2 linked regions of the Kluyveromyces lactis genome follow. The protein of the gene in region 2 purifies or fractionates together with the protein of the main gene of each other region. This does not show direct contact. Links are inferred from orthologs where the notes say so. Each region holds a gene or a part of one and is shown on either strand. Other genes may lie near its edges.

Region 1 (4,428 bases), on a different chromosome or scaffold from region 2:
TTCTTGTTCATCCAAGTTCTTCAGAACTCTACCCAATGAGTTGTCATTCGACTGCTGTGTACTTTTGAAAAACTGCACTAATATTTCTTTGAGTTCCATATCGATAACACGACCAGTAAGTAATACCACATCATCATTTAGTTGTGACACGTAGTCCTCTTCATAATCTTTGGGGGTTATGTCGTTTTCTTCTTCTTCTTCTTCTTCTTCTTCTTCTTCAATATCAGTTTGTCTTGTCAATTCATCCGCAAACATCTTTACAATATACTCTTTAAAAGGTCTTACCACGCCATCAGATTCATCATGATATGAAGACCGAGTAAGCCTCTGGTCGTTAGAAAAAAAGAGTTCAGATAGTGATAATGCCACTTCCTTCAACATATTTTTGCTGCGGTTTTCTTCAAAGCAATCAAATAACTCACGGATTAACTTATTAGGTATTGATTCTTCCGCAGAAATAGGTATTGAGAAGATATATGCAAGGAAACTTTGAATATCTTTTAAGATAACCTCACAGGATATTATTATAAAACTGTCGACTGGATGCAGTTTATTAGGGTCCACTAACTTGGAGATTGTATACTCCATAATCTGCCCTATAAATCTGTTTTCATGTGGCTGTGTAACTCTTAGTGAAAGCAACATTATAGGAGCAACATCAATGGTTTTATAAAGTGACCTCTCAGGATCAAATACTAAAGAGCATAAGTCGAACATTGAATCTTTCCAGAACTTAGGATTAGAATTACAAGCCAAATAAACAAAAGCCTGCAAGGCAGTCTCGGCGATGTTTTCATCAGGACACTGTTTGATAAACTGCACAATTGGGTTGAGAACGTATTCAGCCACTTCATCAGAAATATGGTTTCCCACCGGTGGATTCTTCAGAAATACTGAGAGAAATTCTAGTGCAAGGACAACCAGTGGTGAATAAGTTTGTTGGCTTTGTAAGAACGTTGACATAGCTTCTATAAAACTTGGGAAACAGCTTTCACAAAGTCTAGTGTAATCTGTACAATTGATATCTCTCAAGAGATAAGGAAGTGACCGGACAGATTCAAAGACTATTCTCACATTGGATGGTTCACTTGAGGATAACTTCAAAAGCAAGTTCAAAATTTCTTGTTTAGTATGAAGATCCTGTTGGAAATGCCAAGTTTTGACAATTTCGTGCATTGCTTCAAGAAGAAGACCAAGAGAATCTTCTTCACTATCAACATAAAGAGTTTTAATTGCCTTTAGCAACGACTGTTGCAAAATCATAGACGTTTGGTAATCAAGAATACTGCCAAGTTCAGCGAATGAGGTGTAATAAGTGAATGATATGACTAACGATGCCAAAAGAAAGTCGTCTTCAGCTGAAATTGTACAATTAACTGTCTTCACAAGGAATTGTTGCACTAACTGTTTGATTTCAGGTAAAGTTTCCATGTTATTCTCGAAGAACTTGGGTATTGTTAATATAGTTCTTGATTTCACAAATGTAGGACAGGCATCATCATCTAGAATCATCACGGCCAAAGATAAGAAATCCTGATATCTTGGAACATTCATGCTTGTCTCGTTGGAGCATAATTCTTGGAATAAGAATAGACACGCTTCTTGGTACTGTGCCTCATTTGAAGTGACTTGTAGGCATTTTTGCAATACGGAATCAGTGATGTGACGATATATCTCGTCGCTGCAGCTTGAAACATATTGGCCAATTTCATCTCTGGCATTATATGAAGCTGATAATCCAGTTTCTTTAGAAATAAATTCATTGAAGTCTGACAGTTTAAAGTAGTCTTCAGGAAGCAAACACAATTTGATGAAATCTTCTGTGAAATCCGGTAATGTGGGATTTTCTATAAGATCTGATGGGATGTATGCAAGATATTGGACGGTATTGATACAACTGGAGTTAATTATCTCTAACCTTAGTTCGTCGTTATTTGTGAGAGCTCTGGCATAGCTGTTAGCATTTGACTTGATAGCATCCAAAGTTATTCGTAGTCTATATGATAAATCTCCATTAGAACCCAAAATGCTCTGATTGAGGTCGAATAATTTACTTAATGCCATAAACAGTTCTCCTTTGAGTCCAATTACTTCAGATTCCATATTATTTCCATAGCTTTCTAATAACTTATCGATGCAGTCATTCATAGCTTTTAAGTGAGGAATGAGCCACTCGCTCATAAGCTCAGATGTAACAAACATTGAAACGTTGCGTAATTGAGATATGCAATGGTGGTATAGTTGTAAGAGTTTCGATTTCGCTTGCAAACGCAAAGTATCGTCATTTAATGCTAACAAAACCGTATTTACTATCTTGGCTCCCGAATGGTTATCGAAAAACATCTCATTTGTAATAATATCTTGAACAAGTTCCGTCAGTAGGCTGATGGCATTTTCTGAATGATAATTTAGAATATTCTCATTCAAATAATCTAACAATCCAGGCCATTCATCTGGGAAGTCAACAGCGCAAATCTGAACAATGCAATAAGTTACAGTAGAGATAACCTTCTTCTCGGTATCTTCGTTTGCAAGTAAACTTAAAAGACCTCGCCTTACTAGATCTTTCCCTTGTTCGCCCACACCTGGCGGTCCAACAAATGAGGGAAAACCTGCGGACCAATACATAGTAGTGAACTTTCTTAAACACAATAAAGCCAGTTGCCTGGTACTGGCTGAAGCATTGTTATTAGTAGCTGTATCAATCAACTCGATAAAAGTGTCGGGTGGATCTGTAGCACAACGTTCTAGTAAACTGTTCTCTGCATCTTCTCTTTCTTCTTTCTGTGGGGACTGAATTCCTTCCAATAAATAAGGAATAGACATCTGACAATCAATCAGTAATGGAAATTAGCGTATTTACCAGCTTTGTCGGCAACTTGAAACTAATAGTAGAGTTATAAGAGGTTGCTGTTCGGATTATTTTTTCATTAACACTCATAATTTATTCGGATTTGGTAAAGAGATGAGCATATCCCAGTCTTTTTTTTTCCTGTTTCAATTCAATGCTGGAAATATTGAAGGTTGACAATTACCTCAATGAAATTTAAAGGTCGATTATATGAGGAGAATCTACCAAGATACGTATTAGTTCATCATTATAGCAGGTGTTATCGTCTTGTTATCATATTTGATTTGCACATTGCTGAACCTTGAAAAATATATTACTTATTCCTGGTGAACTTAGATAGTATTAAGGTTGCTAGTGATATAAAATAGGACAACATGACTGAGGGAGCATCATTAAAGGAACAATTGCTTGATGCATCTAGAAGAAATAACGCAGATTTGTTGAATGCTGTTCTTGAAACATTGGATGGTGATAAACAGGCTATCCAGTCTTTAATAAATGATTCTAAGGACCCTTTGGGAAACACAGCCATCCATTTGTGCAGTAAGTATGGATCGTGGGATGTTCTAGATGTACTATTGGATCAAGAGGGGGTTGATGTCAACCAGCAAAATTCAATTGATGGCGATACCGCACTACATTTATGTGTAAATTACTCTCACGATGAACCAGAATATGGTACATTTATTGCTGAAAACTTGATAGAAGTTGGTGCCGATCCAAGGATAAGAAACAAACGCGGGCAGACTCCGCTGCAACTGGTTCACAGTGATGAATTGGAATCTTTGGTAAATCTATTGCAAGGTGCAGAAATTGCAGCGGACAACAAAGGTAAAATAATTAACGAAGAAGATGCAGAAGAGATCGACGATGGCCCAGAAGATGACTAGTACGTATCTATATAGTTTCCCTGGTCTCTCTTTATAAGTTGAAACAGATAAAAACGTTATTCTTTTAAGCTACTTCAGATTTCGAAACACTGCATGGTGCGATTGTCATATGCAATTATCTCTGCAGGTTGATATCCAGCCACTAGCAGAGAGCGTGGCTTTCGCTTTGGAAATAATGTGGTTTCGATCAACAACGCTTGATTTGAAGCCATAGTAATCCGTATCAGAGGGCATGGCTTTTATCTTTTTGAAGGCAGACCACTGTGCACATCTACTGATAATTGATTGGCAACCTTTTCGAAGTGGTTTCTTGCCTTTGACATAGAATCCATTTTTGACCCCATTTAGTATTACCTCTGATACTGCTTCGTTCGAGCCATATAACGATACACAAGAACTCAAAGAAGGTTGTTGAGATAAGTTGGTTCGATCAGCAGAAAAAGTCTCATTACAAAATAAAAACTTAAAGGGCAAGAATTGCTGATTCTTTAATCTTAACCAAAATGTATCTTCTAACTGTACTTGCTCGTACTGGTACTGCTTTGGCAGAACAATCCATTCTAAATATACAGGTGATTGCAGAAGTGACCAGGTTAAAGCATTGCAGATTGAAATCATCTGCTTCATTGTTAATTTGTCCGAGCACGATTTCGAAAGTGTTATCTTTGAGTCTGCACGACCGGGTTT
Region 2 (2,397 bases):
ATGTAGGGCAACCGAACATACCAGAAACAACAGATTAACTGAGTTCAAAAACCACATCAGAAAAGGAATAAACTAATCTTTAACTCGGAACAATTCTATAGATAACCTAACTCAGAGTTGATGTCTGCGCCCTTCACGATAATACTATGTACAGAAGTGACACACTCCAAAAGATTCAATAAAATAATCGTTTGATTTTACCGAGTGTGGACTTTCTATCGTAAAAGCTGATTGTTTAACTGCTTTAAGTTATGGACTTGGAAATCAACTTAATTGGGTCGAGTTAGGACTCAAGATGTAGATGAGAGAAACGGTAGCATTGTTATATATTCACCAGGTTCCATAGTTTATTGATTTATGACAAAATATTAGCTGAGCATTTAAACTTCTATATTTTCCACTTTTCTTCACGCAAAGTGTGTAGGATTGTTATAGTTAGAATTCATCACGCATGCCCGCAAAAAAATGTCTAAAAAAACGCACGGAAAATACAATCTATGTATTACCATAGTAACGACGCACCTAAGAAATGGTACAAGTGCATTATTATCAAAGGGTTTCCAAAAATTTTGTTAAGTAAATGCCCTTCCCCCTATAATAGACGCTGCATGAAGCCCCTATTAGTTGGAGGAAAGGAGGTAAAAGAGGCTGGCAATACAGACAAATTTTCGGATGCACGTACAAAAATTGGAACATTAGTCTAACTGAAAATGCTCAGTTGTCAAGCATTCACTTTAAAGCCCTTTTACTATTCCATTCGAAAAACGAATTCCGGCCCTCATTTAAAATTAAAGGGGACACACAGTGAAAATACCATCATTGCAGTAACACCACTACCATATGTTCTTCGAAATGAGCCGGAACGTTTCTTAAATCCATCAGTGGCTCCTACGCTCTTTAAGGGTACAAGGTTGCAAGCATCTCGAGTTCATAAATAGTTACCCTGCCATGCTGTCTCGTCTGAGGGAAAAGGAAAAAAAAAACAACCGGTAGAATAGCAGGCGGCAAAAAAAAAAAAATCAAGAAAGCGGCAAACTGCACTTCAAAGCTAGACCAATCAAACCGTATGTTCACCTTTGACAACTCCAGACATGTCGATGCCTGTATATCTTCATTATTTCAAATACCTTCGTCCCTCCCGGTTCTTCCTAGCCCTTACCCCAAATCTTATTACTTGTAGCAAATCTCACAATATGAAAGTAAGAGAGGAAACACGAAACTTTCAGACAGAAAAATAAAAATAAAAAATAAACATCAAAACAAACAAAAACAAATCGATATCAACTTAACTTAACTTAACTTCACATAAGTTGAATATTGGACCAGAGGGACTAAGAAAAGATAGAATCTGCTGTTTGCTTTCAAGTTTGAGATATATACGATCAGACATTGCAAGAAAGAGCATATTAAAGTTATTATAGGAGAAACAACATGTCAGGAAAAGTACACGGTGGAAAGGGTAAGTCGGGAGCCAAAGACAGTGGTTCATTGAAATCACAATCACATTCTGCTAGAGCTGGTCTTCAGTTTCCGGTTGGGAGAGTGAAGCGTTATTTGAAGAGAAATGCTGCTGGAAGAACCCGTGTTGGGTCCAAGGCTGCTATTTACTTGACTGCTGTTCTTGAGTATTTGACTGCTGAAGTTTTGGAATTGGCTGGTAACGCTGCTAAAGATTTGAAGGTGAAGAGAATTACCCCAAGACATTTACAACTTGCTATCAGAGGTGATGATGAATTAGACTCCTTGATCAGAGCCACTATCGCTTCTGGTGGTGTTCTACCTCATATCAACAAGGCTTTGTTGTTGAAAGTGGAAAAGAAGCATAAATGAAGCGTGAAAATTGTATCAATTTGAATGAAGTTTAATGAGACTAAGCGCTTAAAAACAGCTCTCTATTGTTATTTCATTATTATATTTCTTCTACTTTTTGACTCTAACTGTAATCATATCCCAGGGTGAAGGGTTGTATATTTTCATCTCCACTTCCCCCCCCTCTCTTTTCCCTTGTCGTGATGGTACACTACTAATTCACCGCATTATCTTATCTCAAAATATCAAAAGTGCAATTTAACCCTCATCTATTCCATTTCCATATTTTTATTAAACAGTTATGTATATGTAACATCTATAATCCAATTCCTACTTTTACTCATGACCTGTTAATATTAGAGCTTGTGTTTACGTCTATACTCAAATACTTATTCATTCCAGAATAGGACTATATACAAGTTTGTTCCGTTAGAATATCGGTGGTCCAATATCCTTTTTGTATTTTCATTTATGTGAGGAGAGTTTTGACTGAATTAATTTTAGTTCTTCCTTAAGACTTTGACATGATTTTATTTGGTCGCTTTGGGTCTTAGTCGTTGATCTCAGTTCTTCGATTTCCGATTGTAA

Evidence for each region.
Region 1: the proteins of HTZ1 (region 2) and KAP114 purify together in Saccharomyces cerevisiae (affinity purification with mass spectrometry; 5 studies listed by BioGRID, with this or other methods). This does not show direct contact. The link is inferred for Kluyveromyces lactis from reciprocal best matches to the Saccharomyces cerevisiae genes HTZ1 and KAP114.

The regions. Positions count from the first base shown.
Region 1 is NC_006037.1:74,748-79,175, reverse strand, and holds the start of KAP114 (karyopherin KAP114), read right to left. Parts: upstream 2,827-4,428; coding exon 1-2,826. Other genes in the region: ankyrin repeat-containing protein ANK1, read left to right, coding at 3,226-3,741; TAD1 (tRNA-specific adenosine deaminase), read right to left, coding at 3,847-4,428. UniProt on the Saccharomyces cerevisiae protein: Required for nuclear protein import and mediates docking of import substrate to distinct nucleoporins. Serves a receptor for nuclear localization signals. Mediates the nuclear import of TATA-binding protein (TBP) and of histones H2A and H2B.
Region 2 is NC_006039.1:522,428-524,824, reverse strand, and holds HTZ1 (histone H2AZ), read left to right. Parts: upstream 1-1,431; coding exon 1,432-1,830; downstream 1,831-2,397. Other genes in the region: PLB3 (lysophospholipase), read right to left, coding at 1-57; KLLA0_C05896g (OPA3 family protein), read right to left, coding at 2,275-2,397. UniProt on the Saccharomyces cerevisiae protein: Variant histone H2A which can replace H2A in some nucleosomes. Nucleosomes wrap and compact DNA into chromatin, limiting DNA accessibility to the cellular machineries which require DNA as a template.